Regions from separate parts of the Mus musculus genome. Here region 1 is reported to be linked to region 2. The links are microRNA targets in miRTarBase. Many come from high-throughput screens and were not tested one by one. Region 2 holds a microRNA gene; the other region holds the end of a gene's coding sequence. Distances are from middle to middle.

Region 1 (15,596 bases), 24 Mb from region 2:
TCTCACACACACACACACACACACACACACACACACACACACACACACACACACTAAACAAAAGTACTGATAAAAATGTTTTTGGAGGCCAATGAGTCAGACAGAAAGAATACTGGCAATCAGACAAAATAACCGTGGTACCTCGGAAGACTCCCAGTATCACACCAATTTGAACCACCAATGTTCTTTCCTTTTTATCTTATTGATAATTATTATCCCTTTTTTTTCTCACAGAGGAGTGAAGAACCAGTGTTATATAGAATGTTTTATTTTAAAGCAACAAGCATGCATTGACTTCACAGCCGGAGGAAGACTATGTAGGAATCATGGTTCATTATTCTTAGTAACAGTGGCCCTGATTTACCCAAGTGCAAGGCTGCCTGGCTGGAGAGCAAACCATCACTTCTCCTTGCAAGAAACTCTGTCTGCGTCTTGAGTAAATGTGATGTGGCGACTTTTAGGATCCCTCTGTAAGAGACAGATGGTATGTGACTTTTGCCCCCTTTCAACTTTGTCCTTTTTCTTTTTTTTTTTTCAGATAAAATATTATAGGTTTATTTAAAACTTATTTCTCACCTTGAGTATGCAAAATACAAATTCCACAAAATGTTCATTTTTTTTTTTTGCTTTGTAGTTTACAAATATACAAAATAGAAGTGTACTTAAATGCATATTACATATTTACTAAGGCAAGGAACTATATAGAAAAACACATTTGTTCTGCTTAAAGGCATACTTGGGAATAAACCATTGTACAAATTATTGCACATCTGAACCCACAGTGCATAACAGACTGTCTGCATAAAGATGTTACAGAAATAAACCAGGCTTATTTACTTGGCTTAGGTCATCAATGTAGATCGGAAGACAAAACTAGATTTTCCTTGTCAAAAGTATGCAGCAGTTGGAGAACTTTGGCTCCCCCGTTTGGTACCTTTAGGACCACGATTCACCAAGCACCATCATTTAGGCTGTTAGAACATGTTCTGTACCTGAATCGCTTCCTCTTCCTCTGACACAATAATGGCTTTTTTTTTTTAAGAAGGCAAAGAGCATACAAGGTGATCTTTACGTGTGTATTGCATCATTGAAACATAATTCAAGGGAATCCTGGTCTTCCCTGCCCCCAAGCTCACTGATTTAATGTATACCCTGATATCCACAAACTTCCAATCACCCCTTGGCATTTTGTAAGTCCGGGCATGTTCAAGTTGGATTTGGTATTGGAATGATAGAAGATCCAGTCTCAGACCCCATCTGTTCTGAGATTTTTTCTTAACTTTGTCCTTTTTCTTACCTCATAGATAGAACTGAAAAGATCACCTTGGTTAATGAGTGAACCTTGACGGGGGTGGAGGTGGGGGGCTACACATAGAGGATCAGTGAACTGGAAGTAGCCCGAGTTCTTGAAAACTACAAGTCCCATAACAGCCCTGAACCACTCACCTGCAGGGTTTTATATGACTCAAATAGACTTCTAGTTTGTTGGTCCAGACTAAAGAATTGCCCTTAATTCTTCCCCCTGCCACCATTTTCACGTGGAGCAAGAACTCCCCATCTTTGCTTCTGTCTTCCACCTGTGGCTTCTGCTGGCTCTAAGCCTGTGCCTCCTAATGGTATCAACATTTCTGCCTACCATGTATCCCTTCGTTGGATGAGCAGCTCTGCCTAGCCTACCCTTTTGGATCTCTGATACTGATGGCAGGGTGTTATGCAAGGACACAGGTGGAGTAAAACAAACCCACATGTTTTGAATGAGACTACTGAAGCTTTGGTGAAAGGTAGGGGTTCAGCTGGAAGCAGAAGGGAGCAAGCTCCAACCAAACAGTGATCAGACAGCTCCTTTAATGCAGTAGGCCTGCATTTCATTGGGAGAGGGGGACAAAGTTTGAGTATTATCTATTCGTCATAGGCATGGATAGAGTTTTCTAAAAGGTCTTCCTTGTGCTCAGGTATTCTGGCCATGAGTCGCTGAACTAATGAGTAGTGACATAAGGCAGGAGCTGGTAACACTTTTCTATTGGTAGTGTCATCATGTCTCATGGTGATGAAATGGTCTCATGGTTGCCTGTGTGCCTTAGGATAAATCTGGGATGGTGGATGCAAGCTGACAAGAAAATACAAGGACACAGTAGAAGAAAAACCTCATTCTAACAGGCAACAGGGGCAGCGAACCACAAACTGTAGTCTCTGACAAAGCATTGGTCAACATGTCTCCATGCAGAACTGATACAGATTAATATACCAATCGAAAGCCAGTTACAGTTGCATAGCTGTAATCTTAGCACTTGGGAGCTAGAGGCAGAATGATCAGGACCTCAAAGTTATCCTTGGTTGCACAGTGAATTCAAGGGCAGCCTGGGATATGTGAGGTTCTATCTCCCTCCCAGAAAAGACACCAATGGAGATAGACAAAAATGAAAATGGAGATGCCAAACCTTTTAGTTCATTTTCGTTATTTACCAGTTTTCTGTTGGGACCAGAACGAGTTGGTGATTTCAGGAATAGTAGCCTTCAAGTTGCTGTAAAGTAATATACCTGGCTGCTAACCATAATCCACATGTCAGACATGTTATTATTAAAGTTGGTGGGAAGACAATGTGCTGCACAGCTGTGTGACCTCCCAAAACAGGAATTTCTTTTTTTAAGTCAAATAAGAACGTGCCAGACTAACAGACCTATATGTGTTTTGTCTAGTAACAATTTCCTATTGGCTTTGTCATTTGTGTGGCCTTTTCAAAGCCTGCTAGTATCATCTTGGTTTGGTCATAAGGGGCCTCTATAGTGTGTAAATACCCTGGCCTTATCCAGAGTTTTATAACGAAGCTATTGAAGAGAATACAGGAATATACATATCACATTTTTAATAGGGTTCTTTTGACTCATGCAGGTAGTCCCTGGTACTTCACCCCACGTCCTGTTCAAGCAGGGGTCATCACATGACCTTCCGTTAGAAGCCATTGCTTAGATGCCACAATTCAATCCATGGGAGAACAGTAGCACAGCCATCGATCCTAAAGGATTATGGTTCAAGTCAATGAGCTTCGGGATGCTCTATCAGGTAGGAGTAATGTAACTGGCACACTGGTTTAAGCTATTGCCTCTGTGCCTCTTTACTATCCAGAACTGAAACAAATTCTAAGTAATGTGGATGCAAAGCCATATAATGCAAAGCTTAAGCTTTGTGGGAAAGCACTGTCAACATGGAAAACTCGACGACAAGGTTGATTTAATTGGAAAACTCTTCTTAAGGGTCCTGTAACAAATGCCTATCTCTAAAGGGAAAATAATCAAAATTTACACTTAACTTGCTCGTTAATGTCGTATATAGACCATAGACACAACGCATTGCTTTAATAAAAATAATTCACGTAGGTGACTAAATAGTTACATAACAGACACCTAAATGACATCTTTGAGTTATTTTATTCCACCCTCCGACTAGCTCTGTAGCATAGGTATGTGTAGAGAGGAGCTGTGTGTTTGCTTAGCAGATTACTGTGGAAATGGTCTATAAGCTTTGCTCAGAAGGCTTGCCTCTCCTCACGCCCAATGGTGTTGGTTTGTCTCAGACAGGTCTCAAAGTCTAGATCTGGACACTCAACCCAAACCTGAAACTTGAAGGAAGCCTGACAGATACCCAGCTTGATCTAATTCTCCAATTTAAGTTCTTTGGTGTTACACCAAAGATTCCAGCCAGGCTGCCCACAGGAAATATTGTAGTTAAGCAAGTGCCTAGAGCCCTCTCCCTAATAAAGACACCTAACACTTTTGGTTGGGTATTTATTTTGTTTCCAGTGATTCCTCTACACAGTCAGAGCTGGATGCTTTATTGCTCAGTATTCTGCAGCTGATTGTCAAGGTATGTGTCTTAATAATTATTATTGTTATGTGTCTTTGTTTGTTTGTTTGTTTGTTTGTTTGTTTGTTTCGAGACATGGTTTCTCTGTATAGCTGTGGCTGTCCTGGAACTCACTCTGTAGACCAGGCTGTCCTCGAACTCAGAAACCCGCCTGCCTCTGCCTCCCAAGTGCTGGGATTAAAGGCATGTGCCACCACGCCCGGCTTAATTAGGGTTTCCATTGCTATGAAGAGTTCCATGACCAAGACAGCTCTTACAAAGGCAAACATTTAATTGGGGCTGGCTTACAGGTTCAGAGGTTTAGTCCATTATCATAGCAGGAAGCATGGTGGAACACAGGTAGACATAGTGCTGGAGAAGGAACTGATAGTTCTACATCTTGATTCAAAAGCAGTTGGGACTTGAGCATATATATGAGAACTCAAAGCCCATCCCTACACCAGCAAGGATGCACCCACACCTACTCCAGCAAGGACACACCTCCTAATAGTATTACTGTGAGCCAAGCTTTCAAAGACATAAGTCTATGGGGGCCAAACCTATTCAAACCTCCACATTATAGGCCTGGGGTGGTTCAGAGATATACCAGTCAATATATTTTAACAAGGAAGATGTTTTTATTCATATACTGGTGCCAAGTCTTCACCAGGGACTCTGGATTTTTTGTTTGTTTGTTTGTTTTGAAACAGGGTTTCTCTTTGTAGCCCTGGCTGTCTTGGAAGTCCCTTTGTAGAGGAAGCTGGCCTCCAACTCTGAGACCCACCTGGCTCTGCCTTCCCAGCTCGAAGATTAAAGGCATGTACCACCTTGCCTAGCTAGCCCTTAACATTTGAAAGTCAATTTTGCTTTATGGTTCTCTTAAGCACTGCAATTTTAAAGCTTTAAACATACAGTTAACCATCGACATAATTAATATTAGCTATCTCCATATGAATTCTGACATTCTTTTTTTCTTGTCAAGGTTTAGTTATTTTCTTGTTCTCTCTTTTTCTCCTTTGCATCCTTCCTTTTTTCCTACTCTAACAGGACACAGGCTTCTGTCCTGATAAAAGCAGAAATGACCTCTCAGAAGAGTTTTAGAGTGGCTGTGGCAGAGCACGGTGTAATGGCTCCCACAAAATAACCCATATTTAAGTGCTGTGGTGTTGTGTTAGTTTCCTCTGAGATCGAAACATTCAAACCTACAGAGAAACTCCTCAAACCCGAACAAAGTAAGCAACCCAATATAGCTTCAAGAAGTCCCTGAAATTGATCAGATTCGCTATTCTTCCAGAGTAAGCAGAAAAGAGGGCTGAATTTCAAGCAAGCCAAGATGCAAAAAAAGGAGGCTTTAATAAATCAAGCTGCAAAGAGGACCCCCAGACAAGCAAAACTCAAAGAAGACCCCTGCACAAGGCAAATCGCCTGGAAGAAACAAACCAGCAGAGCTGCCGGGAAGAGCTGAAGCACCTGGAAGGGACACTCTTCACCCTTCTGAGCTGCCTACAGGCTGTGCAGTGTGCTCCAGGTTTCCAGCTTCTGTGAGCTGTCACCCATGCTGATGTGAGCTTTGGTGATGCAGCTGTCTGAGTTATTTCTACTCCCATATGTAAACTCTCACCCATATTCCTGTAAGTAACTGCAATGAAGCTCATTGGTTCATCAAGTTGGGCTTTGGTATATTCATACTCTGATCTATTGTGGGCTTCCTATCCAGGGTGGATAGATTTGTGTATTGCATCTCCCAGGAAATGTATTGTTCCACAACATACAGAGCACACACACACACACACACACACACACACACACACACACACACACACACACACACAACCTCCACTCAGACAAAGGTCTGACCATAAGGCAAAGCAGGGAGAAATGGTAACTTGCAGAGTTATACACAGTAATGTTTCAGTTAGGAGGGAGTAGGGGAAAGAAACAAAGGAGAGGGGGCAGTCTACCCCCAAGGGAGACAAAGGGCTGCCTAGGCATAAAAAGGAGACAACAGATGTGACCCATAGGAAAATGGCAGTTTATAATGGTAAAAGGGGAAACTCCATGTCAGGATGAGGTGTTTAATTTTAATTGGGCATACTAATTAGGTGAGCCAAAGGGAGCTTTTGATTGCTGGACTGCAATACTTTGATAGCTGGACCTTGGTAGTCAGCCTCGAAAGGAGGAAGTGGACAAATAAGGGAATGGACCTTGATGGCTAGCTTTAGGAATGTAATGTAATGGCTTTTAGGAAGGCAGACGGAATGTGGGAGCATGTCTGCCATGCTCAGGTTGGCTAGAGTCCCTTCACTAAGTATGGCTTTATTCACGCCAACATGTACATTTTATAACTGCCTTCTGTGTTGTTGGAGAATCTCCTGCATCCCTAGGATGTGTTTTGATAATGTCCCCCCTTTACATCCATCTTATTCCTTTACCACTCACATGTGCTCTATTTTTAGACCCACAGAGTCCATTTAGTGTATTTTTTAAAAAGTGGTGGTTATTTATTTCACAATGCTTTGGGGGCAGGGTGGAGGAGTTGATCTATATGTGAGGTGAATGCGCAAGCCGAATGAAGACCGCCACTTTCTTACAGTACATCAAAGACAATCGCTGTGATCTAGGTAGTCATGAGCTAGTTATAATGCTTTGAGACCCTGGAATACAGATGATGGTAGATTTCATCTAAGTCAGTTTTGTTCATCCAACATTCATCAAACTCACTAAATATGGGCCGCAAATGGTATTCGCCACTGCTACAAATCAATGGTGATATAATTTAAAGGACAATATTTTACAAGTATTGTCCTAGCCTGTGGCGATATTGTAAGATGTTGGTACTTGTAGGTACAGCCTAGTAGGAGTGTGCCCTTGGCTGCACACCCTAGAAGAAGATACTGTGATCCTACCCTTCCTTTCCTTTCTTTTTCTCATTACCATGAGGTGACCAGCCACATCCTCCCCCAATAACGTATGGTGTCCCCACAGGCCTAAGCAACAAGGCCAAATATACATGGGCAGAAACCTCTGAAACAATGAGCCAAAACCAACATATCCTCTTTTATTAGTGGTTTTGTCTCAGAAGAGAAAAACTAACACAAGCATCATTTTTTTAAAAAAAGTCATTGAACTTCAAATGACATCCTAGTGGCTGTTTGAAGTGTCTAAAAGTACCAACACGGGGGGTAAAATCACAGTAAAACCCCATCTGCTGTGGTCAGAGCTGCTCTGTCTGCCCAGCTCTCTGGCTTACCACCATTCTAAGGAGGCTCAGATGGGACAGGGCATGAATGTGGGTATCTAAATCTCAATGATGCTCTTGGACATTCATCTTTATGCACAACTCTTTCTGAATGTGGAAAACTAACAGGCTAGTGTGGACATGATTGCTCCATGGCTAAGCTGCACCCTGTCCCTGTTGCTTTCCATTCCATGGCTTATATTTGCTAGTTCGGTTCTAGAGACCAGAACTCCCTCATCGCACCAACATTATCATTGTTGTGAAATGGTTGTGTAAGATGAGGAGTATTTGGAAGCTATTTATCTTCTTGGCAATTACTACCTGTGGGTTATCTGGAACATTCTGGCAACTGAATGAAACAGATGGCAGCCTTCTGACTGCATCGGACAGAGGACAGGGAGCATTAGGCTGGCAGAGACCCACTTGAGGTGAGTTCACCAGAAGAATAAAAATAACATATTAGTATACAAATGGCTTGTCAGAACATTTTTCTCTTTGAACGAAGCCAGTCAATATTCTCTTTTCTTCTTTATCATCCAAACCACAGAGCATATTTTGTTTAGTCCTCGTGATTACTCAACTGATTCACGCATACTGTGTTTACCATATTTTCAAACTACTAAGATATAATTAATTTAATCTAGACAGAGTCAACTAAGTATACAAGATCAAATGATGCTACTGTATTCTCATGGTAAGGTATCAGTAGCAAAATTAACTTTACTCCTTTCATTTCCCACCCAACCCCCCAAAAAACCTCTTTGTCTCTTTCCCTCCTATCTGCCCCCATTTCCTTTGCCGTAGAAATCTACAAATCATTTCTGACTACAGAGTCCCTTATTCTTCACATTTTATAGAAATGTAGTCATACAATACTCGATCCCTTGGTTTCTTCCAGGTAGCAAGTTTTCAAGGCTCAACCATCTCAGAGTTTATGACTTCTTTATGTTCTTCTTTCCTGCATGCAACACTCCATTTCACTGTGCTGTGTTTGCCGATGGGCGAACGCTCACGATGTTCCCCCTTTTATTGTTATTAATAGCGCCACTGTGGATTCTTGCATATAAGTTGCATTTGGACATCTGTTTAATTTCTCTCAAACATATACCCAGGAGTGAATCTGCCAGATAATGTTGTAAATGCATGTTTAACAATTTGAAAAACTGCCAGACTGTTTTCCAAGAGAGTTGCCGTTTTAAAACCACGCTAACAATATATGACGGTCTGGTTTTTCCTTTGCACTCGCTTGCTATTTTCTGTCTGCTTGGTTATGGCAGTCCTACTGTGTGAGGTGATGTGATGCATTATCATGGTGTACTTTCCATTCCCCTGGCAGCTAATAATATGGAGCTTCCTTGCTTGTGCTCATTGGCCATTTGCAGATTTCCTAGTACTGGGTCTGTTTGTATTCTGTGCCCATTTTAGGCACAGTGTTGTCTTTTTAGTATTAGCTGTTATTCTATTTTCCACGTATGTCCTTTACAAGATACGTGTTCCCTCTCATTCTACTGCTTGCCTTTTCTCCTTCACAAATAAGAGGAAATTTGAAGGGAATTAAAAGATGGAGAGAGTACTTTTCAGTTTGCCAAGACAGCAGTGTCAGATGGGACTTTCATCGGACCGGCTTTAAAATGTCTTGGTATTGGTAACTCAGTCCCTTTCATGAAGTCAGCATGTCTGCCTTGCTCAAGCACGGAATGATGGCAGTGATCTCCGCAACTCTGCCCATGAGGGCCTAGCTTTGGATTTAATTTCCTACTAGAAGAAAGCCCGACAGCTTCTGCTTGACTTTTCCTACCCTAATAACCTGTTGTCTAGATGTCAGAGACAAAATGACCATACATGCAGTCTCTAAGTGTGTCAGAAGCTCAAGGGAAATACCAGTGAGTTCACAAGTCTACTGTGCTTTCTGGCCTGGAAACTTGATTTGTTTATCATCTAATCACAATAACTCCCAATGTGGAAGGGAGACTAGTAATTGGGTCCAAACAATAAAACTGAAATGTAGACTAAGTGGTATTTGGAGTTTAAGCAATGACAGTTATAGTAAGCACTCTTACCATTTCTTTTTGTCCAATACTAGTTAAAAATCTGCTTAATAACATAGTGTCTAGTGTTAAGAAATATTTGTTGCATTTTTTAAAAGATTTATTTATTTATTATATTTAAGTACACTGTAGCTGTCCTCAGATACTCCAGAAGAGGGCATCAGATTTCGTTACGGATGGTTGTGAGCCACCATTTGGTTGCTGGGATTTGAACTCGGGACCTTCGGAAGAGCAGGTGGCGCTCTTAACCACTGAGCCATCTCGCCAGCCCCCAGCATTTTTTTAAGTAACAAGAATTTCATTCTGTTTCATGTGTTTCTTCATGTGTGTGTTTGTGGTGCAGGAGATGAATTCTTTTCTCATAATGAGCACTCCACCACCAAGCATCTTCTTAGGCCTGGTCTTGTTGCTATATTCTAGTAAACCACAAAGTCTTTTAAAGAGTAAATTTAAAACCTAAATTTTATGGTTTACACTAAGTACTTGTTCAAGAATTATTTAAGAAGCGTAGCAACGCCTAGATTTCAGCTAAGCTAGTAAATACTGGTGTAAGTCATCCTGGCCACAGGCATCTTTTCTAAGTGGCAGATTTACCCGTTGTATAGGAAAAGCAGGTAAGACCTTACATAAGGAAGTGGAAATGTGTAACTTGGCATAGACCTTTCACTTCACAATTTTGGTGGGTGCTGCTGTAGTCATTTCCAACCCTCCTAGTGGAAAATTCTCATGTTCCTCTAATGAAGTAGTACATGGGTGGCAGTATTTTAAAAGTTCTAAGTCAACGTTACCAGCTGGGTACTCTGAAACCCACCTGATAGATGTATTGCAATTAGCCAGTACTTTTTCTTAAATCAATTGAAATTGTTCTTAGACAATTTTATACATTCAAAATAGATAGTGGCCACTCTCGCCTTCTGTCCTGCACGGCCTCTCCTTTCCCCCTGATCTCTCACTGTGACCAGTGCTGTCTAGGTGACCATGCTTTTGAAGCTCTGCAATAGAGCATGGTGGGCTCAGCAGTGGGTACACAGCGAGAGACAGTGCTTCCCCCCCCCCCCTCTCAGAATCTACCAGTCGCAAATGGTTCAGAAGTAAATGGTAGGGCCCCTTGAGCCCCTTCCCCCACCTTGACTATTAATGAGGCCTATGTTAGATGGGTCCAGGGCAGGTAACAAGATTGGAGTTAATAATTTCAGTGATTGCATCTAGTCTAGAAAACAGCGTTTTGCAATCCCTCATCCCATCTTCTGGTTCTTAGTTCACTTCTGTAAGGCTTCTTGAGCCTTCGAGGGGTGGGATAATTGTCTTGTTTAGGGCTGTGGGTCAGAACTGTCACAGCTGCGTCATGGGGAGGCAGGACTCTGTATTCAGCACCACTCATTGCTGAGAGAGGATTCTCATATTATGGCTGGGAACCTTTTGTTTGTGGGTATAAGTGTAGATAGTAAAAGGTTGTTTGATGCAATGTCAACTTAGAGAACCATCAATATCAGTTTAACCATAATAAGCTCTCCACATGGCCTGACTGCCCAGGGCTTACGGTACCAGGAATGGCCCCTCAGCACCCTTCCCCTTCTCTGTGGAGTGGGCTGGGGCATTTTCATAGTTTTGGATGGGTGCAGCCATCCTTCTGGCCCTTCATTTACATCTAAACTAAAAGTTGTAAGGATTTTTGTATAATAAAATGGCCTATTTTAAAGATTTTAAACATTTCTTTCTACTTACACATGAAAAACTATTATTAAACTTGTCAAATCACAACCATTTTATTTTACATAAACCTAGACATTCAATTTTCTAATTGAATCAAATAATTTGGACACTTTATCAGAATACCCAGTAGAACATTATTTTAGAATTCTTGCCATTGAGGGATAGTATTCAGATCAGCTATCAGAAACAAAAATCAACACATTATTGAACCTGTGGGGCTTAAAAATGGAATGTTTTCCTTAGGACAATAAATAAACAAGATTTAAGAAAATTGAAGTGAACTTCAGCTAGGACTCATGTAGTTTGTAATAAAGGCAGTAGATACTCTCAAATATGGATTTCTTACTTGCTTTGTGCTTTATTACAGCAAGGGAATACAAGAAGAAGAAAAAAAGCCTACCATGACAGTTCTCCAGAGGACAGTACCTAACAATATCTGAGTAGCATGCTCAGCAGAAAGCACAGCCACACTGGAGGACATCAGGAGAACCCAGCTAAGTATTGCATGGTAAAAATGACTTCAAACTATTGGATGAGTGTAACTATATGCCATGTTACTGGGCAATGAAGAAGCCCAACGCTATTAGTTTCAGGAAGAGCAATGTAATAAATTTAGCCACACTACATGTCACCTTGCTCAGCCATGCACAATGCTAAAAACGAGTTTATGACCAATAAATACTACAACACTTGTTTATTAGGAAAATGTAAGGTGCTATAGCCATCCTTTCCAGGCTATTGAGAGCAGACGGTAGCATTGTATTCAACAGTTAGTTGAATGTGGAGGTTTCTCCAACTGTCAAAGATACAACTTTTATCTTAAGCTCTTACAGATTTTATTGCCATATACAAAATAATGGGTAAGCTATCCCCCTTTCCTCCCTTAGAACTGACTTTTACAAATGACATTAATTTGTTTTGCGTGGAGGTGTGGAGGTAAGAAGACAATTTTGGGAGTCAGGTCTGGTCTCTAGGTCTCAGGGACGAGGTTCAGTTATCAAGGTAGGCAGCAGGCGTCTTTACCCACTGTACCGGCTGGTTTTGTGTGTCAACTTGACACAGGCTGGAGTTATCACAGAGAAAGGAGCTTCAGTTGAGGAAATGCCTCCAAGAGATCCAACTGCAAGGCATTTTCTCAATTAGTGATCAAGGGGGAAAGGCCCCTTGTGGGTTGTGCCATCCCTGGGCTGGTAGTCTTGGGTTCTATAAGAGAGCAAGTTGAGCAAGCCAGGGGAGGCAAGTCAGTAAAGAACATCCCTCCATGGCCTCTGCATCAGCTCCTGCTTCCTGACCTGCTTGAGTTCCAGTCCTGATTTCCTTTGGTGATGAACAGCAATGTGGAAGTGTAAGCAGAATAAACCCTTTCCTCCCCAACTTGCTTCTTGGTCATGATGTTTGTGCAGGAATAGAAACCCTGACTAAGACACCCACTGAGTCATCTCACTGGCCTTAGGACTGACTTTTAAAATTATGTGGTGCTGGGGTGATGCCTCAGTCAGGACCTTACCTGCCGTACTACTGTGAGGAGTTGGGTTCAGATCCTCAGACTCATACAGAAAGCCACATTCAACAGTGAATGCTGTCAATCCCAGCACCAGAAAGGAGACAGGAGGATCTCTGGGGCTTAACGGCCATCCAGGACCACTTAACTGGCAAGTTATTGATTCAGTGAGAAACTCTCTCAAAAAATAATGGTAGAGAGTGATAGAGAAAGACACTTCATGCTGACCTCTAGCTGCTTCATACACACGCTCACCCCCCCCCCCCACCGCCCAACAAGCTCACAAACACTACTGCACCTACACACACAGAGAGAGAGAGAGAGAGAGAGAGAGAGAGAGAGGCTCACAAACACATACCACTCATATACCACACACATACACAGCACTTGGAGGGTGAGAAGGGGAGAAACTGGAGATAATTTTATAATAAAAATACATCCCCAAAGCAACAACTGAAGATGCACACTGACAAACCCAACTATTCTTTACTTTTGGCAAAAGTGTATGTAGCAGTAGTAGTTTACAAAAATAAGTTAGTCCTCTGGTATACACATTTTCACAGTTTGAACAGGAAGTTAGTTTCCACTGTCTTCCAGAGTATCCCCAGCACACATCAGCCTTCTGCACCCTGCTGCTCAGAAGACACTTTCAGGGTGGATCTGTTCCGAATCCGTTTCCTTTTCCTTTTCTTTTCGGAAGCAGGGGACTTTGTATCCTGTGCTTTCTTCTTTTTCTTCAGGCAGCTGAGAGGATTGGGGCCGCCCACCTTCTTCTTTTTCCTCCTCCTCCTCCTCAGGTCCGGGTTCCGCACCAGGCCTTGCTCCTCCTTCAGTTGCTTGATACTCTGTTTCTCGTGCACTGAGACCAGCTGACCCGCCTCGACCGCCTTCACAAAGGCCACTGTTCTGGGAGAAGGCTTGTCCAACACTATAGTGTTCTGAATAATGAACATGAGAGGAATTCCAGGAGTCCTCTTGACTTTCACAGATAAGTTCTGATCCTATTAAAAAGGAAAGGGGTTTGGTTTCTCAATCAAAATTAGAACCTAAAATTAAGTTTCTATTAAAAAAGGCTAGATGGGGAAAAAAAGAACTATATGTTTTCTTTTTCAGATGACATGTCTTATTAATCAAAATGTATCTTACGGTAGAGGACAGAAAACATAAAGACTAAGCAGAATGAAGCCACTCAACAGCAGTCGGGGCTGGATCAGTCAACACTCTGGGCCCACGAATTATCAACCAATGCAACAGAAAATACATTAGAAACTTTCTCTTGCCTTTCCACTAGATATTCTCTCGAAACATCGACAAGGGAAGAGGTTGGAGCAGAGTAATAAGCTGACTCCACAATCATATCTGTATACCTCATGTGTGCCTAGGTGGCCGTAAGATGGCGGTGGGTTCCTTGAGACTGTAGGTACACATGGTTGAGAGCAGCTGTATAGGTGTTGGGAATTAAACCAAGAGCAGCCAGCTCTTAACCCCTGAGCCATCTCTGCAGCCTCCTGATGCTAATCTCAGAGCACATGCACCATGAGCTGAGAAGCAGGAATTCAGGAACATGCTAGGTTATGAGTCCAGAAGGCAGAGACTGCCCGACTCCTCCCTGCTTGAAGAACCGTGACGCAATCAGCACACTACTGCAACAGCTCCTCAGCCTCTAGAAGGAAACTTCTGAAGGAAAAAAAGTCCCCCAAACTTAGTCTCCTCCTCATATGTTCAAGTAAGTACCTTTATTGATCCCATTTTAAAATGTACATTTTTAAAAGTCCAAACAATGAAACATGAATTAGCTAAGTGACTGGAATCCTCTCTAATACACCACAGTAAGTAAATAAATAGAACTTCAAACACTACATTATCTCTCCCACTTACTTTTCTTTGTACTGCAAACAGAGCTGCATGAAGTATATATAGAGGTAGTTAAAACTGCCTTACAGTTTTGAAAGTAACATTACCTGTGTGGCCACAAAATAATGATGAGGGTTCCCCTCATCCACCATGGACAGGAGACATTCAGACCCACTCACTGGGCTCTTGAAATGAGGACAGTTTCGAACCTGGCATTTCTGTGCAATCAGTTTTGCTCCATATAATTCCTTTCCCAGTGTTTCTAACTCCTTTAACACACATCTGGGGAGAAAAAAGTCATTCAGAGTCCAGAATCACAACCAATACATTCCTTCTGTTTATACAAAGCAAGCATAAACACAATACTCAAGTTTTTAAGGTGGAAAAACTATTCCATAAAAATGTGACGGGGGAACGCCAGGGCCAAGAAGTGGGAGTGGGTGGGTAGGGGAGTGGGGCGGGGGGGGGGGGGGAGGGTCTGGGGGACTTTTGGGATAGCATTTGAAACGTAAATGAAATAAATACCTAATTAAAAAAATAAAAAAATGTGGATTTATAGCACGGTTGCCATTTTCTTCTTAAATGAAAACTTTAAAAATACATACTCCAAGCAGAAAGAATACCAATGTCAGAGTACACTAAGCATTTGTGTACAGGAAGCATGCAAGTTGTTTTTCGCATATACTATTGCTTAACCTCAAATGTATAATAAAGCTACATGATTAACTGAATTAAATTTCTAACTTATCCTCAAATCTCTACCTCTTACAGATGGACCAGATACAATGAGCCTTCCAGATACTGAAGAGGACTCCAGGTCACTATTACAACTTCAAAAATCACTAACACAGAATCAACAACAACTTATGTATCCTGTTTGAATCCTGATTTTAAAAAATAAACAAATGAAAAATAAGAAAAAAAAGTTTGTTTTTTTAATTGTAGGAGCCAGAATGGTTGATGAGACCAGGAGAAAATGGCCCACAGAGTCAACTAAGCAGGGTTCATGGTGCTGGCTCACAGAGACTAAAGCAGCATGGTGGTGTAGCTTGTTGTCTTGTGAAACTTCTAATAGTGGGAACACATATGTCTTTGAGTCTTTCACCTGCTCTTGGGGCTCTTTTCCACCTGTTGGGTTACCTCCTCCTGTCTTGATGAGGGTTTGTGTCTAGTCTAATTTCATCTAGGCCCTGTTCCGTTGATATCCCTGGGAGGCCTGCCCTTTTCTGAAGAGAAAGAGAGGAACAGTGGATTTTGTGGGATGAGGGAATAAGGGAACTGTAGTTGGGATGTATTGTATTGAGAGAAGAATTATTTTTTTTTAAAGTTTTTTCATGACAAACAGCAAAGAATGACAAACAGATGTGTGAGGAGGTGGGGAAGAGACGGGGACAACAAGAA
Region 2 (15,596 bases):
TCTCCAAGGCTTACCTAAGCCTTAGTCTGCTAACCTGGGCCTAGTCCTCAAAGTGTCTAGTCTCTGTACACTCTTATCTAGGCCTAGGATGTTTTCAGCCTTTGAGACCTACTGCTAAATAAGCTCACCCTTTCAAGTTCTTTCTGAGCTCTGGCTGGCTGGTTCAACTCAGCTGTTCTGGCTCCAACTCCTCTCCAAGCTGACTGGTTCAATCTGACTTCTCTCTTGGCCTCATACTAACTTTAGCATGCTAATCTTCTGGCTCCTTCTCATTCTCTGATTTGTTCTGTCTTCACCTGTGTCTAGTTTGTTCTCTGTGCAGTCTGTCTCTCCATAACTGTCGGTAAAACTGCCTTCTTTTCCCTTTCCCTCTGTGCCACTTAGTTTCCTTTCCCTCCCTCTTTTCATGAGAGTTGGACATATCCTATTCTGTCAAATCTTTCTCTTGTTACTTTGTCTGCTGGTCAAATTAGCCGTCTCTTTCAAACATGACTGCTTCCTTCTATAAACTAACTTTACCTTCATTGTTTGGGATGACAGGCCTGTGCCTTCCTAAGTGCTGGGATTATAGGTGTGTGCTAGAGCTGAGCCACATAAATGGTGTTTTCAATAAATAACACAATCTTGGGGTTCATAGTGCTATCAAATACTCTGCAAGACGGGCACCTAGAGAAGGCAATGGATGAGCTTGCTAAGGGATGAACCCACCCTCTCCCAAGCCACCTCCAGCTCCAGGGAAGTCTTTGGCACAACTACTTGCCAAAGGTGCTCTAGATGCTGGGCTGCAGAAGACGGCTCAGCAGAAGGATGGAGCCTACAGTCTTCAGAGTCCAAGAGTTTGCGAAGTGTGTGTGTGTGTGTGGTGGGGCACGCCAGTGAAAGGTCTGAAGGGAGCTCCCAGTGCCCAGTGGTTATGAAGCAGACAGGCACAGGCACCTGTTCCTGAGGGCATGGGAGATGGCTCAGTTTGTGACTCTACCCATCCAGCGGTGACAGAGGCCTTACAGGCCCCAGGCAAGATCTCTGGCTGCAGTGGGACCAGGAACCTGCATGACAACCTGTCGGATCTCCGTGCCCAGGTGGCAGCTAACCAGAAAGGCATCCAGCTGGTGGGAGAGCTGATCGGACAGTATGGCTTAGATGTGGTGCAGGCCTATATGGGCCATATTCAGGTGGGCCTGGGAACAGGGACATACATGGGCAGTTTTGTGGCTGCCCCAAGGTAGGTGGGCTACCCTGCAGATGGCATGGCGGGGCTGAACCTTATTTCTGCTAGGCAAATGCTGAACTAGCAGTGCGAGACATGCTTCGTGCTTTTGGAACTTCCCGCCAGGCCAGGGGCCTGCCCCTGGAGGTGTCTGCCAAGGATCACATGGACGATGGCTCTCCCATCTGCCTGCATGTTCAGATCAACCTGAATCAGGTTCGCTTGTGAGGGAAGTGGGGAGGGCACTGGCACTGGCCTCTGGGGTGAGGCCCATTCTGTTGCTGATTGCCGTACCTTTTTTCTCTGGGTAGGGCAGCGCTGTATTTGACTTCAGTGGTTCTGGGTCTGAGGTGTTTGGCAATCTCAATGCCCCTCGAGCCATAACACTGTCTGCTCTCATCTATTGCTTGCGCTGTCTAGTGGGCCGTGACATCCCACTTAACCAGGTTCGTAGAGGTGTGTGGTGAGGGGGCTTGCCAGAAAACAAAGGCAGCCCAATATGAACGGAGCTTAGAGTGGTGGAATTGTTATCTGAACCTGGGTAATACCCAGCCCTAATTAACCACCTTGGTCATTTCACCAGGGTTGCCTGGCTCCTGTGCAAGTCATAATTCCCAAAGGCTCCATATTGGATCCATCCCCAGAGGCAGCAGTGGTCGGAGGCAACGTGCTCACATCTCAGCGAGTCGTGGATGTCATCCTGGGGGCTTTTGGGGCCTGTGCAGCCTCCCAGGTGTGGTGGAGAAAAGTGGACACAGGTCTGGGGGCTGCTGGGAAGCAGGGTGGTGGGGGTAGATGCGCCCACTAACCAAATGCTGTTATTTGCTTCTATCAGGGCTGCATGAACAATGTGACCCTGGGCAATGCCCGTATGGGCTACTATGAGACAGTAGCTGGTGGTGCGGGTGCAGGCCCTGGCTGGCATGGGCGCAGTGGTGTACACAGTCACATGACCAACACGCGCATTACGGACCCAGAGATTTTGGAGAGCCGGTGAGCTGGGCACTCAGTGCTGGGCAGTTGATCTGGGAGATGAGCCCGTGCTCAGATGCGCTGTGCCCTTCTCCTGCACAGGTATCCAGTTATCCTGCGCCGCTTTGAGCTGAGGCCAGGCTCTGGAGGCCGAGGCCGCTTCCGGGGAGGTGATGGCGTAGTCCGAGAGCTGGTCTTTCGGGAAGAGGCGCTACTGTCTGTCCTCACGGAGCGCCGCGCCTTCCAGCCTTATGGCCTCCACGGTGGGTGGCTTCCCCAGCCCTTGCCAGCCTCTTTTGATCCCATCTCCCTACCCCTACCTCTCTTGACCCCCAAGCTTCCTTGCTTTCTCCTTCTACAGGGGGAGAGCCTGGTACACGTGGCTTAAACCTCCTGATCAGAAAAGATGGGCGCACAGTGAATCTGGGCGGCAAGACATCCGTGACTGTGTATCCCGGGGTAAGAGAGGGAGGGAGCCTTGTGTGAATAGGGATACAAAAATTTAATTTGGCTCCCAAACGGAAATAGGGTGGTTGAGTGATTGTGTCTTAACTGGGACAGGGACGCAACCTGTGTTAAAACTTGCTCTTCTTCTCAGGACGCGTTCTGCCTCCACACGCCTGGGGGTGGGGGCTATGGAGACCCGGAGGACCCAGCACCACCACCAGGCTCGCCCCCGCTATATCCAGCCTTCCCAGAGCGAGGCAGTGTGTATGAGTACCGCCGCGCCCAGGAAGCAGTATGAGTGCCCCCACAATAAAGATCCTTTGAGTCGCATGGTTATTGGGTTATTGGGCTCCGCTCCCCCCATGGTGGTCTTTCTCGACATTCATCCCCTTGTCTGGGCACCAGCGTCAGGAGCATACCACTTGAAGCTTCAGGCCCATAGCCAAGTGGTCCGTGAGTCCAGCAAAGGCAGTACTGAATGTCACCTGCTCCGCCTCCTGCCGGGCAGGTGTCAAGTTGAGAGGTGTTTTCAGTTAAAGCAAGCCCAGCAGCCCTGAGGTGAGGCACTTACTGGGCTCAGGCGACTCCCGGGTACTCTGCGGTAGGTGATGTAGTCCAGACGCCGGCCCTTCCAGGACTGAGCTGGGTAACTCCCATGAAGGGGCCCTGACAGGTACAGGCGGCGCCCCTTTTCCTGTCTCAGGGCCCTAGGAGAGGGACAGCATTCCTGAGGCTAGGGACGTTTCTCTCAGCTGGCCTAGTAGTGCCTGGGGCTCAAGGAGTCCACTCACCTCCGAAGCATCTCTGGGGAGCAGGCAATGGAGTGGCGTAGCATGGAGGAATTCAAGATTGTCCCTGTGGAGTCCAGGGAAGAGCAGACTCAGCAGCAGGCCACCTTGCTGACAGACATCCCACAGACTTGTTCTCCCACCTACCCAGCAGCAGTACCTAAGGCCCAGGGCTGTTCCTGGCAAACGCCTAGCCGGCAGGGGTCCTGAAAGCAGCTGAAGAGTTTATGGCCCTGCTCCTTGGCATGATCTGTGGAGAAAAGCCGTTTCTCAGTGGGCAGAGCTGGGTCTCTTGGCTCCACCTCACCCCAGCTTCTTACCTTGGGAGCAGTTGTCAAAGTTTAGATCTCCCAGGAGGACGCTGAAGGCTACAGCCTCATCACTCTGCCGGTTCTCAGCCTCGAACTCTTCCACCCATTCCAGCAGCAGCGTTAGCTGTTTGCAGCGAATATGTCCATCCTCTGAGAGGAGAGATGAAGTTGGCTTAGCCCAGAGTAGGGATCTAAGACCTCACCCTGTGGGTCCTGATCTGTAAACCACCCAAGGCATTTCTTGGGATGTCTGGGGCAGAGAACATTGGGATGTGGGGACAGACGTGTTGGTAAGGTTAAGGGACCTACTGCCTTCGAAGGAGAGAAGAGGGGCTACCTACCCACATTTCAAACCCTCCTGCAGGGCTCACCAACGGGTGCATGCAAATGTGTACAATGAAGGTATCCCACGATGGGGTGCCCGTCCACGATGCCTAGCTGCGCCTGCAACACCACCCACAGTTCCAGGTCTTCTTGCTCTCCTGGTTAAATCTATTGCTTACGCTCTCCCCGCTAGGGCTCACTGCAGCCTGGGTTAGTACCTGGACTGATAGTAGACCTTTGGAGGCCATGGCGTCCTCGCGACGAGCGTTAGGAAAGCAACGGAAGGTGGCACGCAGCAACGGGTAGCGCGAGGCCAGTAGAAGCCCACTGCCCAGTACCTTGATGTACGGCCCAGCCATTAAGCCAAATGTGCCCACATCATATATCACCGGGCCCAGATTTGGTACCAAGACACGCACAAGACGACGAGCTGCGCGGAGGTCGAACACTTCCTGCAGACACACGAAGTCCAAGCCCATAGGTAATGTGGCCTTCAGCTCACCACCAGGCACCCTAGGCGGCGGCTGACTGCATTCGGAAACCCTATACTGTGACGATTGAAGGCTATCTAGCAGTGCGGCCCCTACAGCCTCGGCGCGCTGCAGGCTGTGCGACAGGTTGTTAAAATGAGCCAGCCCGTGGGGCAATAGGCACAGATTAGCAGTGAGAAAGACAAAGCAGCGCCGGCGCTCAGCAGGCGGATGCCAGGGCTGTGGCCACACCCAGCATGCCGGAGGGGGCTGATAGCAGAAGGGGCGGCGCCAGACCTGGAGGGGCAGCCAGAGCGCAAGGCCGACCAACGCTAAGGGTAGGCCGACCACCACCAGTGGTAGCAACACCCCACTTCCTGCCAGGACTTTGAACCACCCCAAGCTTTTGGATCGGACGCTTGGTGCCCAGCAGCCCAGCAACTGGTCCAGGGACCAGTAAGTCGGGAAAAGCAGCACGCGGGATAAACTGTAGAGGGCTTGCAGCACTGGGTTCGGGAAAGGTGAAGGCCTCAGGGCGTTGGGTGTCAGGGGCCAGTCCTCTTGGGGCACTGGGCTCCTTCGCCGCGAAATGTCAGGGAGACTCATTGGTTTCCAGCGGCGGCGGAGGTCAAGACCAGGTGGCACAACCTGTGCGCGCCGCTAGTAATGCCCGGACGTCCCGCGAGCCTGAGTGCTGGCCACTGGCCCCACCCACTCAGAACTTCTGTGGCGGTTGGAAACGAACAACAATTTAAAAAAAAAAAAAAACCCGTAAAAGAAATCCGAGCTTTACAGCCCTGCCCTATTTCCTCCTTGTACTTGCGGGGGTCCACTTAGTGCTTCGGAGAAAAACTTAGGGCCCTGCCTACTCTCCCCTCCCCCACCCCTCCAATACACTTTACAGCCTGACTACTCACAGCCAGGTAGGTTCACCACAGCCTCTCAATCCGGTGCCTGGCTTAGTGCAGAGACTCAGCACCGATGGCTTGCAGAGGCTGAGACTTCAAACCCGGGGAGGGACCGTTAGTTCTACACCTGAGGCAGCTTGCCCAGACAGGTAAAAGGAAATCCTCCATTCTATGAGCCCTGTAACAGACTTAAGTTCTTTTAATTCTGTGTTTTATTTTTGTTTGTTTTGTTTTGTTTCTCGGGGCAGGGTTTCTCTGTGACTCTGGCTGTCCTGGAACTTGCTCTGTAGACCAGGCTGGCCTCGAACTCACAGAGATCTGCCTGCCTCTGCCTCCGGATTGCTGGGATTAAAGACATGTACCAGCACCGCCCCTCTTGACTTTAGTTTCTTGACAATGATCCCTTGGGCTTTCACAGACTTTTCTTGGCTCCCCTTGGAAGTCTGACTCCTTAACTCCAGCTGTGAGCCAGCAAACACCCTGACATCGACCATCAGTGTCTCTTAAGTAACCCATCAGGTTTGTCTTGGCTGGCGATCTTCAGCCGGCTTGCCAGGATAGTCCTGGAGACTTTGGATGAAGGCAACTGTTGATGAGCTGGGCAGTCTGGGCAGAAGGCATTGAACTCTGCAGGGCAGGTGGGGGTGGGGGTGGGGGTGGGGCGAGGTATCCCAGCTGGAGAACCATGCCTCTTTCTAACCGGAAGTTGTATTGGTACTGATAGATTCCTGTTTGAATCCGCCCCCCCCCCCCCAAGGCTCTGCTGTTCCTTGACTGGCAAGAACTGGTTTTCTAAGTCCCTAGTTCTTTTATTCCTTTCTGCCTTGTCACTGCCCTAGCGCCTGCAACTTCAGGCAAGCCAGAAACTACTCCAGGCTTTTCCACACTGCCCTTCTCATGAACCAACCCCATTTTGGTCTCCACTCTTCTAGAAACACCACGATGTTTCCAATCTCAGCCTACCCATTGATTTCAATACCCCCCTCCCACAAGGGCCCCAATTTTTCCAACCCATGTTCCTTTTTTTTCATTTATTTATTCATTTTACATCCCCATAGATGCCCCCTGCTCCTGGTCCCCCCTCCCACAATCCCTCGCCCTATCCCCCCCAACCCATGTTTTTCATTCTCTGGTCAGCTCTGGTCCCCCATGCTTAGACAGAACCCATCCTTTTCTCAGACCTTGGGCATCTTCACAAGGGGCTGCCATCTCCCAGGCTCCCTTGCCCAGGTTTGGATGAGGTGGCATCTGGCTCTCTTACCTCTACTGTCCTGCCCCAAGGCCCTGAGGCTCCCTACCCCTTTGCTAAGAACAGGGAAGTATCCTTTCTTTCTGCATCATCCCTTCCCTGTTCCTGATCCTACTCCCTCTTTTTTTTCCTCCGCTCCCAGAACTTCTGTTTTCATTACCAAGTAAAAAGGGAATTTGGGACCTTCCATTTAATCCCATTAGAAAGACAGTGTCTGAGAGCTCTGTCTCTCCAGGGAGGCTGTAATGTGAATGTGGCCCCCCCACCCCACCCCACTGGAGCAGGAAGGTGTGGCTTGGGCCCAGTGACCAGAGTCTGTGGGAAACTTTAATGGCCATGCACAATGGCCTACAGGGTGAAGTGAGCCTGGGCCAGCCGGGCACCGGGTGTTACCAGATGAACATAGGTTTGCCGTCATCGTGGGACAGCTGATGGAGGCAGGAGAGCAGCAGGAGGGCGTCCGTGAGCTTGCTGGGGTGCACGGTTTCCAATAGCACACGCTGCAAGAAGTCCACCGTGTAGCAGCCACCTTCAGATGCCGCCAGCTCAGGCCGCTCGCGCAGGATGCCGTACTCATTGACCAGCTGTTCTGTCAGTGCCGGGTGCACCCGCCCGTTGTAGCCTAAGCTCTGCAGCTTGTTCATGATGCTCACGTAACGCTGTGTGAGCGTCTGGCACAGGTCCTCATCCAACTTGTGATTACTGGGGTTTAGGGAGGCCTGTTGGGGAGAGTGGCCATCAGGGACCCCCCACACACACACACCCCACCCTGGCTCACAGGCAGGCGGGAAGAGCAGGGGCAAGGGAGGCCGGGGGAAAGGAAATTGTGAAGTATTGCTATGAGGATGCCAAGAGAGGAGAAGCCATGGTCCCTGAAAGGTCCAGAGGGCTGGGCCTGAGGTCAAGGCACCCAAAAACCCAACTCAGGCAGGCCCAGAGGCTCCCCAAAGCTGCTAGAGACATGCATCCCACTGTTTTTTTGTTTTGTTTGTTTTTTCCTTCCACCAGCTATGTGGGACTATGTGGCTTCCAGTATGGGGGCACAGGGAGTTCTTCATACTCTCAGGTTGCCAGACCCCAGAGTTTGCATGCTTTCCCAAGAGCTAATAGAAAGCACTTAACCTGGAATAACAGACACCGTTCTAACAGGGCAGGAAGGTCTTCCTGAACATCACCTTTCCCGAGGCCCCCGTGGAGTCAAGGTACTGACATTTCTACCAAGCACGCCCATGCTGACAGGCTGATGGGACTTCCATGTGGGAAGACGTATTTCCACATAGAAGGTGGCAGGTCTCTGGGGGGCACCATGGGTATAGCACTGGCTCTTCAGGGACAGTTGTACTCAACTGGGGACACCCACCTGATCTCTCTGCTGTGTTGGGACTGGTGCCCCTGGTATATTCACTGGGAAAGTCCCTTGGTGTGTTGACATTTTTCTGGGCAGTACGGCAAACGCGATTTTGTGTCTTTCCTGGAGCTGGGGACCCTATTATATTAAATCCCTATCTGTGTACATCAGTTGCTGTCTGCAGCCAAGCACACTGGATGATTTGTCTAAGAAGGCAAATCTGTCAGGCAGGGAGGAGCACAATGAGAAGGCCAGTGCGCTCCTCGGATAGATGCAGGGAAGGTGGCCTGTGGCATTTGTTGCTTTGTATATTTTTGCAAAAAGAAGTAGCCAGTGTGATCTGTGGTGAGGAAAGAATTAAGGCCTGGTAGAATGCTGACCTTTTCACAAGGGCCTGGATCACCAAGCACCAGAAGAAGAAGGAGGAGGAGGAAGAAGAGGAGGAGGAAGAAGAAGAAAGAAGAGGAACAGGAGGAAGGGGGAAGAAGGGGAGGGGGAGGGGGAGACTACAGAGCTCCAGCCTAAGCCTTCTCTAGAAGACCCCACTGTGCTCCCAGACAACCTCTGCCAAGCTAAGGACTTTGATCTGATGAGCTAAGCTGGAGTTCCCATTCACCTGGCTCCAGGCTCATCAGATGAAAGTCCTTAGCTTAGGTGTGGCCTTTGTTGGAGTAGGTGTGGTGTGGCCTTGTTGGAGGAAGTGAGTCACTGTGGGGGTGGACTTTAAGACCCTCCTCCTAGCAGAAGCCAGTCTTCTGTTTGCCTTCGGAATAAATTGTAGGACTCTCAGCTCCCCTTCCTGCACCATGCCCGCCTAGAAGCTGCCGTGCTCCTGCCTTGATGAAAATGGACTGAACTTCTGAATCTGTTAAGCCAACCCCAATTAAATGTTGTCCTGATTAAGAGTTGCCTTGGGGGGGGGGGCGTCCCATAATCAGTCACCAAACACAGACACTATTGCATACGCCAGCAAGATTTTGCTACAGTACCCTGATATAGCTGTCTCTTGTGAGGCCATGACAGTGCCTGGCAAATACAGAAGTGGATGCTCCCTGTGGAGGCCCCCAATGGAGGAGCTAGAGAAAGTACCCAAGGGGCTGAAGGGGTCTGCAACCCTATAAGTGGAACAACAATATGAACTAACCAGTACCCCCGGAGCTCGTGTCTCTAGCTGCATATGTAGCAGAAGATGGCCTAGTCAGCCATCATTGGGAAGAGAAGCCCCTTGGTCTTGCAAACTTTATATGCCTCAGTACAGGGGAACGACAGGGCCAAGAAATGGGAGTGGGTGGGTAGGGGAGCAGGGCAGAGGGGAGGGTATAGGGGACTTTTGGGATAGCATTTGAAATGTAAATGAAGAAAATATCTAATAAAAAAAAAGTTGCCTTGGTCATGGTGTCTGTTCACAGCAGTAAAACTGTGTGTGTTCTGGGATTGAAGGCATGTAGCACCACATCTGGTTTATGTAGTATCGCTAGGCAAGCATTTCTATCAGCTGAGCTACATGGAAGCACTAAGTTTAATGCTTTGTTTCGTTTTTTTTGGGGGGGGGGAGTTCAAGACAGGGTTTCTCTGTGTAGCCCTGGCTGTCCCGGAATTCACTTTGTAGACCAGGCTGGCCTCGAACTCAGAAATCCACCTGCCTTGCCTCCCGAGTGCTGGGATTAAAGGTGTGTGCCACCCCTGCCCGGCTGAGTTGAATGGTTTTTGTATCAGTTCCATATATCAATTTTTATGAAGTATATTTAATTTCTTGGTTCAACATTAATAAAAACATGTATATATATTTTAAATTTTATGTATGTGTCAGTCCCTGAGTATGTACACACAAATGCAGGGTCCCACACAGGCAGGGGTTTGGAAACCTTTAGAGTTGGAGTTGTGAGTCACCAGATATGGAATCTGGGAATTGAACTTGGGTCCTCTGGAAGAGCAGTACACGTGCTTAACCATAGAGCCCTCTCTCCAGCCCAGTATTTTAAAGATTAAAAGAATATGTGGGCATGGTGGCTAATGCCTATACATATGGAACTAGAGACCGAGACAGGTACATTAACTCAGGTTCAAGGCTAGCCTGGGCTACATAGTATCCCTACATAGTAACTAGGGATACACACTCATTAAGGCTTTGTCTCAACGAATAAGTAAATCATTCATTCATTCTCTGAGCACAATGGTGCATGTTTGTCACCCCACCTCTCTGGAGGAAGAGGGAGGGGGACCACAGCAAGATTTGGGACTAGTCTGAGTTCCAAGCCAGCTACGCTGCTTACTCAACAGGATCTTGCCTCAACAATCAAAATATGTAAAAATGAAAGGACATAGAGGGTGGGCACCCTCAGGAGGCTGAGGCAGGAGGACCATAGGTCTGAGGCTTGAAACATTTTTATCAAAAGGGTAGATAAAATATAACTGCCTAGAGAAACATTATGATTGTTCCCAAGAAAAATTAAATTGATATACAGGTTCTTAGAATGCCTAAGAGGGCTTGGATACGTAAGGTAGCTTGGATACCAAAGCAGTATGTAGAAGTGAAGTCATTCTCAGGAGCCCATAAGCGGTGGTCAAGGCGCCCTTCGCCACACAACATGGCCCTAGTCACTCTCACATGGACACGGACACGGCGGGACTCAAGGCCCCTAGGATTAGGATGCTAAGAGAAAAGACACTCCAAATATCTTCCACAAAGTTCTTCACAACTGGGTAGGAAGAATGAGAACAGAGAGAGCTGTGGCCCACTTCTCCTTGGGTTTAAATGACAGCATAACTGGGCTGGAGAGATGGCTCAGCCATTAAAAGCATGTACTGTTCTCGCTGAGGACCAAAGTTTAACTCCCAGAGCACGTCGTGCAGTGGTTCACAACTACCTGTAACTCCATCAAATACCTCTGGCCTCTTCAGGCACTTAAACTGACACACACACATATACCACCACCACTAGCGCCCCATAGACAAAAATACAGATGAAACTTAGGAAAAAAAAAAAAAAGACACAGTGGTACCAGTGGTAATCTATGTAATTAGGAGGCAGAAGGGTCACTATAAGTGTTAGGACAACCTGGGCTACGTAGCAAGCCCTGGGCAAGCCAGGGTTACACAGTAAGAAAAACAAAAACAAGCATAACAAACAAAAACCCAAACAAGCCAAAAAATCAACAATGATGAAACCAACTCAAGCCAAAAGAAAGTGTAACTGTACAATCTAATTAAAAAGACAGCCAGATTTAGTGGAAAGTCAGGGTCCTTATCAAAAATATCTATTAAATTTCAACCCACTAAACCTATACAGCGTTGGAGAGTGAGTGGCTTGTAGGGACAATATTGGCTTTGACTAGTGTTAGCAGGTCTGGGTAGAATTTAGGGATTACAACCACTGACCCTGGGGGTGGGGGGAGATGGAAAAGAAGATACACTGAAAGGGGGAAATAAAATTTGGGTGAACTGGAATCAGGTGCAGGTGAGACTCAACCAAAGGCCCAGCCAGGTGGGTGGGGACCCTTGAAGCCAGGGGGTAAATTTATGATTTCCAAATGTGACCACAGGAGTTGGCCTGGAAGACTCCATAGAGGGATATGGCTAGGTATCAGCCTAGCTCCAGGAGGCCACTTTGTTTCCGGGAGGGTTTCAGTGGAGCTGTCCGGAAGAGGAAGGAGAGTCTCTGGGTCACTGCTGACAGAAGTAAAACGAGATGACTCAGGCTCTTGGGCGGAATGACAAGCATGCTGAGGCAAGAGGTCCAGCTTCTCACAACGCCAGGTTAGGTGGAACGCCTCTAATCCCAGCAGAGGAGGTAGAGGCAGGAGGGCCAGAAGTTTAAGGTCATCCTTGCTAGGTGACTATAATGCCAACTGCCCCTTGGTATCTTGTGGTCACTGTTGCTACACCACGGGACCCTCTTTGATTGAGTTGGTGGCTAATGATTCTCCACAGAAAACCCAGGAACATGGCTGTCTTGTTATATAGACTAAATGGGAAGGAACTCTGGCCAGCCAAATATGGCTCTGGCAGGCCTTGCCCTTCTCCATTCCCTCTGCCTTACTCAAAACCATCAAATTACATTCCTAAAGCTAGCTACCAAGGTATCTTGCCTTATTTTGGCCACTTCCTCCTCCTGAAGCTGACAACCAAGGTCTAGATATTAAAGTGTTGAAGTCCAGCAATCAAAAAACCCCTTTGGTTCACTCGATTCACATGCCCAACCAACACACCACTTCATCCTAGCCCATCATAACACACACCCTCTCCTCCTCCTCCTCCTCCTCCTCCTCCTCCTCCTCCTCCTCCTCCTCCTCCTCCTCCTCCTCCTCCTCTTCCTCCTCCTCCTCCTCTTACAGTCTCCTCCAAAATGGACAAGGAGAGCTGGACCCAGACAAAGGAGCCCTCATAGATGCAAGTCTAAGAGGGATGCTGGCAAGCACTGGGCATCTTCTTTGCTCTGGCAGCTCTGAGCTCTCAGAGGCTGTACCAACTGACCAAAGGGAACTCCTTTGAGATCTCCATAGACAGGCTGGGCCCCTCAAAAGAAAAGCACTCATTTTCTGCTACCATCATGTCCACACAGTCCTCTGTCTCCTTGTCATTTTTCTCTTGACCCTCAGTCCCAGGGGCTGCCCCTTTAGCCCTAGAGTCATCCTGATGCAGAGTGCACTCTGTGTCTTGGTGGTCTCTGGAGTTAGTCAGGTGTTTTTGAGCTGGAGAGAAGACACATCTTAGCTTATAACTTCTAGCTTGACTGCTGATAGGAGAGTCAAAGACTCAAGACCAAACAAAAACCCTTGAGGGGCTGCTGAGAAGGTTCAGCTGGTAAGAGCACTTGCCGCTTTTCCTGGGGACCAGAATCTGGTTCCCAGCACCCACACCAGGCAGCTCACAACCGAGGAGACCTGGCCTCTCTGGACAACCCTCCCATACACATAATAAAAGAAAAATAAATCTGTAAGAAGATTTTCTTAAAAACTCAAACTTTTGGGCTGGAGAGATGGCTCAGCGGTTAAGAGTACTCTTAACCTGCTCTTTCAAAGGTCCTGAGTTCAATTCCCAGCAACCACATGGTGACTCACAACCATCTGTAATGGGATCTGATGCCCTCTTCAGGTGTGTCTGAAGACAGCGACAGTATACTCACATACATAAAATAAATAAATCTTTAAGAAAGAAAGAAAGAAAGAAAGAGAGAGAGAGAGAGAGAGAGAGAGAGAGAGAGAGAGAGAGAGAGAGAGAAGAAAGAACTCAAACTTTAAACCCTTAGGAGAAAATGTTGACTAAGGAATACAAAATAGTTTCAGGAGTTTCTGCTAGGGGAAGATTTCTTTCTTTTTCTTTTCTTTCTTTCTTTCTTTCTTTCTTTCTTTCTTTCTTTCTTTCTTTTCTTTTCTTTTCTTTTTTTTTTTTTCTTTTCCTGAGACAGGAATTCTCTGTGCAGCTCCTCTCTGCCCTGGATTGCACATTGTAGACCACCCAGCTAGGGGAGAGTTTCTTAATTGAGACAATACAAATAACGTGAGGAAAGACTGACATTTCTGAACACATTCAAATTAATTATCTAAACTAAGCACAGTGGAGCCTGCCTTTAATCCCAGCACTTGGGAGGCAGAGGCAGGAGGATTTCTGAGTTTGAGGCTAGCCTGGTCTACAGAGTGAGTTCCAGGACAGCCAGGGCTATACAGAGGAACCCTGTCTCAAAAAACAAACAAACAAACAAACAAACAAACAAACAGACAAACAAAAAATTGTATCTAGTGAAAGGACACTTTAGCCAAGAAAAGGCAAGCTAAGAATCAGCCTGTGGAGCTGGTGAGATAACTCAGTGGTTAAGAGCACTGACTGCTCTTCCAGAGGTCATGAGCTCAATTCCCAGCAATCACATGGTGGCTTACGACCATCTATAGGGGGATATGATGCCCCCTTCAGGCAGGTGGATGTATATGCAGCAGAGCACTCATACATTAAACAAAATTTAAAAAACAGCCTGTGCAATCAGAAGTCATTACAACATAATTTGTACACAAAGATGGCCTAAGAGAATAAGCAGCTGGAAAGCCATTTTCCCGCTGAGAAAAGCTCAAATGTATACAGGGATAGGCCCTGCATGGTCTCATATGGCAGGGGTATCCAGCCAAGTGCAGACCCATATCCCCAGTCCTTACCCCCTTGCCAGTTCCCTGTGGTGTTCTCAGTGAGCACTGGGGATGCTGGAGGCAGCGGGCTATAGAATTCTTTAGGTTTGTTGATTCAGACCCCAGGGGTTGGTGCTGCTCAGCCAAAGACCAACTAGGAGGTGGAAGAGGAGTGCTCCCTCCTCCCTGGAGGAAATCCCATCCCTCTCTCTTCTAGAGTCTGTAGCCCACAGCTATGGGCTCCCTCCATCTCAGAGTCCCTCCCCATAAATGCCTGGTCCTTCAGTACCGACTGAGCTTACTGCCCCATCCGTGAAGGCCGTGAAGGCTCCTCTGGCAATGTGGGAGACGGATAGCCACACACCTGGATGATCTTCTCTGGGATGTTGGAGACAGTGAAGCCGTAGAGACGTACGCGCTCTGGGAAGATGCTGGACAGGATTCTTCGGTCTAGCTGGAAGGCGATTTCCCCCACTAGCCTCTCACAGACTAGCTGTTTTGTGTCTGAGAATGACAGAGGGTCTCAGCAGGGTGGGACTGTGGTGAGCAGTCCAGAGTATGTAATGAGGGAAACGGCACCACACTCATGTCGATCCCTTGTAGTGTTACTGACCTCGGGGATTGTCAGGTAACTTGTTAGACTTTCGGTGGGGCGTCTTCCGCTCCATCTCCACGACATTCTTCCGAGACTGTTCCATCACGCGTGAACCCCGGGTATCATTGACTGAAGCCGAAGAGGATGAGGTGCGGGGCGGGGATGGGAGGTTGTGTGGAGGAGAATGGGGATTGGGCACAGGTCGGGTAGGGGATTGGTGCACCCTGGAGGGGGAGTTGGAGTGGGTGTTTCTTGAAGGGGAACCGTTTTCAGCAGCTTGGGGGGCAGGAGCTGGGGCAGAGCTGGGGATTGTGCAAGGAGGAGAGCCTGTTGGGGAGCTTTGGACAAAAGTGAGGGACATTTGTCCCTGGGAAACACTAGTCTGAGTTCGATTATCCAAGGTGCCATAAACATTTGTTGTGAGACTGGATGTGGCCATGGTACGCATAGAGGGGATGTTCTGGAGGGGCGCGCCCACAAACATGTCAAGGGGCTCTGGGTCCTGTCTCGGCTGGGGGTGCTCACTGGTGATTGGGATGTGGAGGAGTGGAAATGAGAGGAGGGGTTAGAGTGAGGCAGACTGGAAGCAGGAATCGGCCCACCCAGGGCACCCAATTACCTTTGGAGGTGGGAGCTGGTCCTGCATAGGCTGAGGTTCCAGAAAAGTTTCCTCGGGTAGGCTCTGCCAGCCGCACCCTTGGCGTCTCTGGCTGCCCTATGTTGTTTATGGGGTTGGGCACTACGTTCTGAGCAACACCTAGAGGGGTAGCTGTGGAGGAGAGCAGGGGACTACTCAGAGAGACTGCCACTGTGCCTGCCAGGGGAGCCATGATGGGGCTGCTCTGAGATACAGCCAGAGGG

The links. The annotated mature microRNA mmu-miR-3079-3p reads CAGGCUCAUCAGAUGAAAGUC and lies in region 2 at 8,648-8,668, shown strand. An mRNA with a match to its seed (bases 2 to 7 or 8) in the 3' UTR can be bound and repressed. Matches are read on the target gene's strand: a 7mer-m8 pairs with bases 2 to 8, a 7mer-A1 pairs with bases 2 to 7 and ends in A, and an 8mer does both.
Region 1: the mRNA of Utp23 is a reported target of mmu-miR-3079-3p. Seed matches in the 3' UTR shown: 7mer-m8 at 12,682-12,688.

The regions. Positions count from the first base shown.
Region 1 is chr15:51,879,897-51,895,492 of GRCm38, reverse strand. Utp23 (UTP23 small subunit processome component) reads right to left here. Exons shown (of 3, transcript NM_030132.5): 2 at 14,303-14,477; 3 at 10,871-13,342. The coding sequence ends at 12,956. Gm34678 (a long non-coding RNA gene) reads left to right here. Exons shown (of 6, transcript XR_003951502.1): 2 at 235-484; 3 at 2,891-3,061; 4 at 3,799-3,862; 5 at 5,136-5,472; 6 at 11,208-11,220. Among named protein-coding and RNA genes, the nearest start is that of Gm48923, 9.4 kb to the left of the region's middle.
Region 2 is chr15:76,283,963-76,299,558 of GRCm38, reverse strand. It overlaps Mir3079 (microRNA 3079), which reads left to right and starts at 8,591; the gene lies at 8,591-8,680. Spatc1 (spermatogenesis and centriole associated 1) reads right to left here. Exons shown (of 5, transcript NM_028852.1): 2 at 15,355-15,596; 3 at 14,754-14,864; 4 at 14,505-14,644; 5 at 6,987-7,395. The coding sequence ends at 7,066. Smpd5 (sphingomyelin phosphodiesterase 5) reads right to left here and starts at 5,187. Exons shown (of 7, transcript NM_001195537.2): 1 at 4,268-5,187; 2 at 4,097-4,169; 3 at 3,735-3,875; 4 at 3,575-3,664; 5 at 3,418-3,481; 6 at 3,198-3,333; 7 at 2,663-3,123. The coding sequence starts at 5,125. The coding sequence ends at 3,034. It overlaps Oplah (5-oxoprolinase (ATP-hydrolysing)), which reads left to right. Exons shown (of 27, transcript NM_153122.3): 20 at 988-1,172; 21 at 1,277-1,423; 22 at 1,519-1,653; 23 at 1,791-1,940; 24 at 2,043-2,200; 25 at 2,282-2,442; 26 at 2,541-2,638; 27 at 2,778-2,956. The coding sequence ends at 2,924.